Drosophila melanogaster: one gene and its partner. The protein of the gene in region 2 interacts with the protein of the main gene of each other region in a pairwise test. Each region holds a gene or a part of one and is shown on either strand. Other genes may lie near its edges.

Region 1 (4,856 bases), about 15 Mb from region 2:
ATGCGCTGCGTATTTAGGTACACAATAAAAGCGGCTAAGATGTGGGCACCAAACCCACTGTAACCTATGTCCAGTTGCCTCTGACGCAACCATACTTTAAGGAGCAGCAGGCCGTCCTGAAAATTACGCCTGCTCTTAAAGGCCTTATCCAATTGAGCCTGGTTCTCGGACAAAGTTAGATCAAACAGTACGTTTGCGTTGTAGTGTTGGGTGGAGGGCAGCGGATCTTTCTCGTCCCATTCGTCACCGTAAAACGAGGGCCGAATATTGTTGTTCCAGGGAACAAATCTGCCTGGCTTAAAACTGCTTAATGGGGCAGTGATGAACAGACGCACTTGCAGGTGCTTGTTTACTTGCTTAGTAACTGGGATCAATTCCAGAACCGGCTTAAGCGGGTTGTTAGCATAGTAGTTGAAATTAAACTGATCTTCTGCATAATCTGGGGACTCCATCATCCTCTCCGTCACATAAGTAAGATACAAAGCTCGCTTCTGGTCATAGCGAAGGTTTAGGTAATCTTCTTTGTGCAGGGATTCTTTTGGCATCTCCAGGGCCACATCCACTACAATTTTGGGACCCAGCAAAGTGCCCGTGGCGGCGGCTCCGATCAGATAAGGTTCCCTGGTGGGCTTGGAGAAAACAAATCCGGTCGGCTTTTCAGAAAGCTTCATTGGAACTTCCAAGTGGGTACGCTCCATCAAGCCATCCTTTAGCTGTCGGGTAAAGGCCGTAAAGGATTCAAGCCAGTTTTCAATGAAATCTGTGTATTTCTGCTTTAACTGCAGCTCCTCCAGCATTTCCTTAACTTGAAGCTTAAAGAGATTGGAGTGGAAGAGATTTTGGGTGTCTCGTAGCTCCTTCATCTCCTCCAAAGTGGGCGGCTTTACATTCTTGGTACCTTCTCTCTGCTTGAAGTTGTTCTTCTTTGGTATGGCAGTGGATGGTGGGTCGCTCTTGGCGATTTTGGGTTTTGGTTCATCAAGGTCGCTGTGATCCCCGGCATGTGCAATTGCTTGGGTACCTGTTCGAGCAGCTCCCTTCGGAGAGCCCACCTAAACAAAGTATGTTATAGGCCAAATAGTTTCCATAAAGATCTAGACAATCTTACCAACTTTCCTGGCATGATGTTTCCCTGTACAAATCGCATATAATATAAAATTTATTTACTTGTTGGAGAGAGAGCTAAACTCGCACGTGTTGCAGATGCGGTATTTCAGAATTCGGTATTTCATTAGAGGTTTTTGTATGGTCACCCTAGAACTGGGCAGATTCGTTTTTTAGTCCCAAATCAGCCGCAAAAACAGTGTCGAACGTAATTATAATTAAAATATTGAAAAGGTTTTATACACTAAATAAATTAGAGCAAAATATATTGCATGGTACACAGTTGTTGAATAAGTTACAAATTTAGACAATGTGAAGTGTAAATGTCTATACCAATTGCCGAGAAATCCTTGGATCCAGGACCAATAAATAAGATAAAATTTATAATATTATAAAAACAAATTATCAGTTAAACGCGAAAGATATTACCGTGGGCCTATACAGTTTTAAAGAGTAGATAAACAAATTTACCGGCTAATTGGTTTCGCCAGCAACAGTATTTTAAACAGTATTTTTATTTCATAATTATGTTTAAACATCTTTTATGTAAAGAGGGCTTTAGGTAAGTTCTGTCTTTAGCACAAGTATATAAGTATCTGTTTAAAATAAACGGGAAAAGCTAATTAAATTATCCCATTTTTCTTTTACCAGTAATCAGCATTAAATCAGCCTAGAGTATTTCCCTCGTTTTTCTATACGGTCTTACTCCGTCTCTGTCCATGTATAAGCGTGTGTGTGTGTGTTTGCAGGCAGGGGAAAAAATCGCACCATTTTTCTCGTGCTCTCTTGCGTGCGTTTTTTGGTCTTTCGAGGATTGTTTCGTAGAAAATCAGTTAAACACAAGCCCAGCTTAATTTATAAAAAGTAGTGAACTAAGTTGTTATCCAGAAATCGACGAGCGCACAGTAGCAAATCGAGTTGCAAATTTCAATATTCGGTCCGAACGTGTGTAACTGTGTCTGTGCGTGCGTGCGTGCGTGTGAGAGTGTATGGGTGAAAAATGAGGCGTAATGAAAATGCGTGCAAAACTGTATAAAAGGTAAATCGGCAGTTAAAAGTTGCCTAATTAATAAAGCCCACAAGTCGTTCATTCCGTAAAGATCAAAGCAAACCTTATAAAATGATGCGTTGGCAGAAAGGAGGCCCATTGAAAAAAATATGGCCAAAAGTCGAGTAGTTACACCCTCTCTGCCTCTTTGCCCCTCTGCCTTTCTTGGTTTTCTCTCTCTTATTCTCTTTGGGTCTTTGGCCATCGCCGCCTTGGCTCGTTTTTTGCATCGAATAACAAAACTTGAAAATTTATAAAAATAAACGAAATCACGTACGGAAATATTTACTTCGACCTTGCGGCCCCAGAGATTTTTCCAACAATTTATACGGCGCGGTGGCCATGGCAGCTAATTAGCCTAATTTTCTGTAATTTTCTAAATTTTAATTTGGTACCTTTTAGAAGAGAGTAACTTTCATTTGTGCGACGATGACTTTAAAAGTTTTAAGTTAAAGTCAATAGTAACTCTTACTAAATTAAATGAAAATCAATTGAAAAAAAAAAACAAATTTAGTTAGCGCTCTCATCAGTGCTTTTAGTGTGACCAGCATACGCTATGGCTGGCCTAACATACCAAAAGAAATACCGCAGTTTCGTACATTCATTAGTCTATTTACTATTTTTATTATCCATACAGAATGAAAAATGTTTAAATCGTCGGTAATATGAGTTTTTTTATATTTTGTATCAGTTAACATGATCTTTCGTCAAAACATTCAAAGCGCTTGGAATTAAGACCGATCTTTACGTTTACAATTTTGTTTATTCAGCTCTTTTACAATTGCTTTAACTTTTCCATTCTTATTTTTCAGATTGCTTTGATTTCCACGATCGTGAGCATTAAAAGTTTAGGCGTGATACTGACCGGTTAAATTTCCCTTAATTGAAATTTAACTACATATTTAAACAGCAACATAGTCCCTTTTGCCTAAAATGTCATCAAAAACTGGGAGGAAAAATATCATAGCAACAATCTGAATGAATTCGGAGATTCAGATCTGTTGTCACAAAAATTGTTGGATAAAATGTGCGAAAGTGTGTTTGTCAAATTGTTTAGCCAAAATTATTTGTTTACATAGTTGTTCAGCGTAGCACGAGGCTGTTTTCCTTAATTCTTAACAACATAGATACACTCGCCTTGGCTAATTTACACCGGAACCTAAAGCCGATTAACAATAGGAAAATAGTCCTACGACAAATAGCCCGCCTTTTGACATATGAACACATAACTAAACTACCACACAGCTCACCAAAAACATAAAATAAATTCGGAAAGTATAGCACCAAAGCTGAAATTTCAAGGAGATGCTGCTCAAATTTCATACTTGATGTCAAACAACGACGACCCCATAGCAACAACAACAACAACAGCAGAAAGAGAAGGAAAAGGAACAACTGGAATAACTGTAAGCTAGCGAACAGAGGGAGAGAGGCAATCTCTGTACACACACCTGTCGTCCAGCGGGGGAAAGAGCAAAAGAGAGCGACGGATCTCCCGTGTGTGTTGTTCGCATGCGCGACATGCGCGGACGCTAAGTGAGTGTGAGTGAGTGCGCGAATGCGTGTGAGTGTGGGCGGTGAGGATAATTCGCTCAATTCGCACGCATCCCACAGATCCTGCAGATCCTCCAGTTTGTTCGTCAAACAGAGTCAGCATTTCGGATCAAACCAGTTGCCTGTCAGCAACATTAACAGCCTCAACGTTGGAAAAAAAAAAACAAAAGCAGCAGCGGCAGTCGATAAAAAAATCATTATCAAAATTACGGAAAAGCGATCAAAATTCAAGCGAGATTAGCTAGGCGAAATGCAGCGACGAGAACGGCAAGCAAGGTGAGTTATGATTGTGTAATTGTATATCGATTATCCCCCAAATTCATAAAGAGGTAATGGTTCTAAGACTCTTTCAAAAATTAAAAATTAATCCTACCATTTAAGTTGGCATTGCTTTTGGCTACAGTATTGAAACCCATTTATAGTTTTCTATTGTCAATCGAAAATCAAGATAAGCGAATCTAGCCCACTGGCTTTATCCCTGCTTTTGAATCTGAATCTTTTGTACGCCCCTTAGCTATACCTTCCAACTCCAAGCGGTACTCAAATTTTGACTAGAGACCATAGGCTTGCGACTATTTATAATTTTGCATTGATAAGCCGTGCTAAAAAACCATTGCCACTATCTACGGAAGCGACGTCTGTTCTCATAAATGTTCCATATTCGGTACTACAGTACACTGTTATCAGGCGTAGAAGCGGTTGGATATTTTGATAGCGATAAGATTATGGCTGTGTCGGGAAACGCGTGTTTGCAAGTTTTAAAACCTAACAGTTTTGATTTGGTTGGCTTAGTTAACCAATAGAACTAGCTTTTCTTTCACTCATAAAACTTTTTAAAATATTAACGAATGCAAACTGCGAATTTTTAAAGAAAATGAGTCTGGTTTAAAATAATTTTATTTCGTTTAACATAAATAAATTTCCATAAAGCTAATTCCTTTTAATTTCCTAGCGAATACTGTACATTGTCAAAAGTTCAAGCAACAGATTTAGTTGTAGCTGCCTTTTTTGCCGAACGATTTTATTTTTAGCAAAGAGATGTTTCTATTTAAACTTGTGTGTTTGATTTTATTTTATTTTCGCAAGTGTTTTTGTTGCTTTTGGCTTATGGCGTCTGCTTTTTCTCGCCTCTGGCACGCCAGCCAAACTA
Region 2 (5,338 bases):
GCATTGCAGAGGTTCGGGTAGTGGGACTCCCGGATGCAGTCGGCTAGGCGACGCTCGGTTCCCCTGCACAGAGTGCCCACCATGCCCCAGGGATACTTCCGGCTATCCCCGTGCTCCGTTCCCTGGCTTGCCTTGGAAGCGTAGCCCAATCCTAGCTGTCGGCACACCACATTTGCCTCCCGCATGCTCCACGAAGTGCTGCAGATCGTACCCCATGAGGCGCCAAAGTCAAAGCTCACCTCCACGCGTCCCTCGCGGAGGACTTGAATACCGGCGAGCGCTGCCTTGTTAGTGGCCAGTCGGACCATCATGTTTCTATAGTTGTTCTGCACGTTGAGGTTGGCCCAACCTTGGCTGAGAACCACTAGGAGCTGCAACAATTGAAACCGGAACGAAGCCATCGCCCATTCAGCCCCTTCTGGTGGAGCACACCCAAATCGCAACCAGTTTTAAAGTCAATGGAACAATGCGCCAGTAGGGTAACAACTGGCAAATGGGGCTACATGTGTAGGAGGTATATTGTGCGTTGTGCTTCCCAACGGATCGACCCACATCTGCTTGGCAGGCGGGAAAACGTTTGTATACAAAACTCAGCTGGCAAAATGCCTATTCCGAGCGCGCGTGCTCTGGTTTCTGCGGTTTCTTTTTTTGGGGGTATGGAGTGCATGTGTAAACTACTTCTGTGCGCCGGTTAGGACTCTAGCAACTTAGTGATGGCCTCTTTCAGTTCCGCCGGCTTGAAGACACCGCGTTCCGTGATGATGCCTGTGATCAGAGAGGCAGGGGTCACATCGAAGGCGGGGTTCCAGCAGTTAATGCCCGGGGCAGCGATGCGGTGCTCTCCCACGTGCGTCATTTCCCGGTCGGGACGCTCCTCAATGATGATGTGATCGCCTCCGGGAATCGCTAGATCGATGGAAGTCAGAGGGGCGGCTACGTAAAATGGCACGTCGTGGTGCTTGGCAACCACGGCAATCTGGTAGGTACCAATCTTGTTGGCCGTGTCGCCATTGGAGGCCACCTAAGGAAGGGAAGAAACCATTAATCGAAAATAGTTAATCATTAAGAGGCTTACTTACACGATCTGCTCCTACAACCACAGCAGCCACATTTTTGGCCCGCAGCAGAGCCGCCACCATGCTATCCAGAACCAGAGTGGCGGGGAATTTCTCGTGGACCAGTTCGTAGGCTGTGAGGCGGGCTCCCTGATTGTAAGGACGAGTCTCTGTGCAATAAACGTGCTCTAGAGCGAAAAGTGCAAAAGTGCGTAAGTAATCAATAAATGTACCAAACTCTATTAAGTACTCACCCAGTTTTCCCAGCTCGGCCAGTTGGCGGACCACTCCCAGAGCTGTACCGTACCCGGCGGTGGCCAGGGAACCCGTGTTGCAGTGGGTAAGCACCCGGACGGATCCCGTCGATCCAGCGGGCGCTTTACCTGCCTTCGCCACGCCCTGTAGGATCGCCTGGGCTCCATTCGCTCCAATGGCACGGTTATCGGCAATGTCTTTTTTTAGCATAGCTTCGGTCGCGTCCAGAAATCTTAAACAGAAGGGGGTTAACTTTGTGTGCTCGTCTCGTAGCCCAGTAAGGAGGTTACCTATGCTTCATTTGGGTCACGTCGATTGCCTCGTCCTTGTAAAGTTCGTTGGCCAGGGTGATGAGCTCGTCGGCTGCGATCTTCATGTTGACCGCCGTAGGCCTGGCGGAAACCAAATAGTTCAACTTTCCCTCAATCTCCTGCCGCAGTGATTTCTTGTTCTCAAAATCCTCCGGGTTGATTTCCACGGCCAGGGAGAGGCAGCCAACGATAGCGATGGCCGGAGCACCACGCACCTTCAAAGAGTCAAAAATATTAGTTTAAATTGCTTGTTTTATTTTTAATGGTCCCTTAAACGCACCCACTTTTCATGACTATATGAAACGAGTACCCATTAATAGTCGTGATCAATCAAGATGCTAAATGAGAATATTTAAAATATCAGGCTGTCATGCTGTTGTCATGTCTCAAATGAGACCGTTGGGGCAATAATTTCGCTGCTATATTGTCGTTATTCATAAACAAGAGCGAAGAGCAGACAGATTAGGTGGGTCAGCCTATCTTGGCTTATCAGATGACGATGCAAAAGGCGGAGTAAATAGCTTACATGGAAAACGGCGAGGCTCCACGTGACAAGGCGCGTGCTCACACATAAACGATCGGCCACCAATGGGCCATGGGCCATCATCTTCTTGTTGGGGCATTAGCCCAGTGGGAACCGATCGCCAAGTGACGTGCGCGGAGTAGTTTTATTTTTGGCAAGCGTTTTTAAATTTTTAATTTCAATTACGTTATTTATAGCCGGGCAAGGGACATACGACAAGCGACAAGAGACAAGCAAGCGATCGTTGCGCAGATTAGGAAATGTACCAACAGGCATTTTAATGGCAATATGCCGGGGAACGTGGACTATTAAGGGAGGCAGGAAAAGGCGCTGGCCTAGGCATTCTCACCTGCATCTTGTTGATGACCTTCCAGCCATCCTCCACTCCTCGCACCACCACGTACTTTGACTGACCGGGCAGGAGCAGCTGGTCGAGGATCTCCAGGCTGCCCCGCGAGTACTTGATCGACTGCAGGCTCATCTCTCCAGGGGATTGTGCTGAAACTGGAAAGGGTTACCGATTAATGTGTGCACTTTTTGGAGGAAGAAGCAGGGAGACGGGCAACCCACTTGGACCACTAGTGGGCGAATCGCTGCCAACTAATCAGTTATTAATCGAAGGCGATCAGTTTCAGTTTCGGTTTCGGTTTGAAATTCGTAGCTTTAAACGCTCCCTAACAACGACTGCCAGGCAAACGGATCGGTTAGCAACTGAACGAGCCTCACGGTTGGGGCGTCGGAAGAGTTTGTTTCGCAGACGAGCGAGAGTGCCGAGAATGGCGCCGGTAGAGCAGGCGGTACACAAAAAGAACACAGTCCGACTTCCACGAATGGTACACTTATATGTAATTTGAGTGATCCTGACGAATAACAATTGCCAACAGACCGAGTTAAACATAACTTCAATAGATGCTATCGATCAGGGTGTCACCTTTTCGTGCAGTGTACTTGGCCAAGGGCGTGGCAGTCTGGCGGAGGGGGGGGGGGGGACCTCGTCCGCGACATCGTCGATTAATTCGAGTCGGGGACATCGGTGGCTGGGGCTTCCCTCCGCCGCTTGCCCCATTGATAAACGTTGGGCGCTCGCGTTGAATTTCTTGCTGACAAGTGTAGCCCGGCAAGAAATTAATCGCGCTGCTTATCTGTCGGCCGGTTATTGGGCAATTTTGAGTGTGCCTTAATTAATGCGACTGCAATTAGTTGGGCCGCAGCGTGACAGCGACTTGTCCGCTGGTCCTGTGCCAATAAACCGCCAGATGGAGTGCGTCGGGAGGAAGGGATTGGGCAGTCATCACTATCCCCATCACCATAACCATCAGCAGTTTTGGTGAATTTGGGGGCAACTGGTGGTTGCCGCAAGCTAACCTTTCGCAGCTGTGTAGCAGCTGAATGACTCCCAACACCAGGTGGTACTGGTGGCTTCCGGGGAGCGAAATCAAAAATCAGGAATCGGTGCTCGCGGTTATCGCATCGGCAACGCGCACGTTTTGTTACTTGATTTATTTTTAATTTTTGATTTACGAATGCTAGTGCGGGCAGTGTGGTCTCCTCTTTTTCCGCATAGAATACCAAAATCTTCCCGTTCCACAACAAGCCTGATTTAGCTGTTTTGTTTGCAACTTTTGTAAATCTTACGGCTATAGGAAGCATTTTCAGGCAAACTCGGACCTATTATCATTTTGTTACTTTTGGTTACTTTCCAGTTATATACAGCAAGTATATTTGTTTAAGCCATAACTCACCATCCCGCCACTTTGGTGAAGTAGAAAGTTCGTGAAGTAGTCCCTAGGTGGCGCTAGCCAAGCGCCAAATTCAAACGGAGCAACCGTTTGCCTTAAGTTTTCAAATATTTCATTTACGCATTATTACACACCCAGAATCAATCATGAGCAAAGTCAGAGGACCAGCTTTGTACCGCCTGGTGCCCTCGAAAACGCTCTTCATGCTGTGCGACGTGCAGGAGAAGTTCAAGCCGGCCATTCCGCTGCTAAGTTCGCTCATCGAAAACACTACTAAACTGGTGAGACAGCGAGAAGTGACAGGATAATGGTCGGGTTCTAATGGATTCACATTCCAGCTGGCAGCCGGCAAGGTCTTCCAAGTGCCACTGCTGGTCACCGAGCAGTATCCCGAGAGGCTGGGCAAGACCGTTTGTGAGTTGGACATCAAGCATGCCTGTGCCAATATTTCCAAGACCATGTTCTCTATGCTGGTGGAGCCGGTACGTAAGAGTATGACTGATATCTTCGGTGGCAAGCCCAAGACGGTGGTGCTTTTCGGTCTGGAGGTGGGTTATGGCTTGAGTTAGGGATTGGTTTAGCAAAATGACCCCGCTTCCACATGATTTAGACACACGTCTGTGTGGAGCAGACGGCCTTCGACCTGGTAAATGATGAAATCGATGTCTGGCTGGTGGCCGACTGCTGTGCGTCGCGTCACAATCAGGATCGGGACTTGGCCTTGGAGCGCCTGCGTCACATTGGCTGCAACATAGCAACTTCCGAGAGTGTGATATTTAATCTGCTGGGGGACAAGAACAACAAGTCCTTCAAGGAGATTACTCCTCTGGTGAAGAAGATCTCCGCAGACATGCAGCTATGCCGCGTCTCAAAAAATTAAGCCTGGCGGCACTTTTCATGTCTTTCGCTCAGTAAACCATCCTTCCAGCCCATGCAGAGTGTGTGTCACCTTAGAAATTATGAGAATTATGAGAGAAGGACCCACCGGTAGGGCGGCCTCCCTGTCCTCGTCAACTCATAAACATCTCGGCCAAGTGGACATCTGAATGGAGGAGCATATGGGGCTACCCCTTTTTGCCCAGGCGGCGCCTTATAAGAACCATGAAGACACACAGATCCCATGCCAGAAACATCCCATCCTATCCCATCCCATCCCATCGATAGAAACAGCAGCTTCTGCACGGCAGTGCTGCCAATTTATGCAATGACTTTGACTCGGCTCTTTGGACCTGGAATTGGCTGGCTGTGCAGTTAAATTTTATGATGCAATCGCAACAATCTCCAGCGCCCATCTAGCCATCTTCAATCGGCGCTGCAGGCATCCCAGCCAGCGCTGCAGTCATCCGGCGGTACAGCGATCGTATCCGAACCAAGTGATGGTGACAATGTAGGCAGGCGTCTGATTGACTCATAACAGGCCACGCAAACATCGCGATCTTGATCGCCATTTGCATG

Evidence for each region. Proteins that work in one complex are often made in the same cells at the same time.
Region 1: the proteins of CG11334 (region 2) and gish interact in a two-hybrid assay, tested with the Drosophila melanogaster proteins (one large-scale study listed by BioGRID).

What each region holds. Positions count from the first base shown.
Region 1 is NT_033777.3:16,271,188-16,276,043, forward strand, and holds the start of gish (gilgamesh), read left to right. Parts: upstream 1-1,813; 5' UTR 1,814-2,143; intron 2,144-2,964; 5' UTR 2,965-3,956; coding exon 3,957-3,982; intron 3,983-4,856. Other genes in the region: Mat89Ba (maternal transcript 89Ba), read right to left, coding at 1-1,052, 1,109-1,147.
Region 2 is NT_033777.3:31,459,321-31,464,658, forward strand, and holds CG11334 (uncharacterized protein), read right to left. Parts: upstream 3,718-5,338; 5' UTR 3,510-3,717; intron 3,148-3,509; exon of another isoform or gene 3,076-3,147; intron 2,859-3,075; exon of another isoform or gene 2,715-2,858; intron 2,649-2,714; 5' UTR 2,626-2,648; coding exon 2,494-2,625; intron 1,837-2,493; coding exon 1,601-1,836; intron 1,543-1,600; coding exon 1,310-1,542; intron 1,244-1,309; coding exon 1,080-1,243; intron 1,022-1,079; coding exon 692-1,021; 3' UTR 502-691; downstream 1-501. Other genes in the region: Loxl1 (lysyl oxidase-like 1), read right to left, coding at 1-401; CG11333 (uncharacterized protein), read left to right, coding at 4,030-4,164, 4,222-4,431, 4,494-4,763. UniProt on the Drosophila melanogaster protein: Catalyzes the interconversion of methylthioribose-1-phosphate (MTR-1-P) into methylthioribulose-1-phosphate (MTRu-1-P).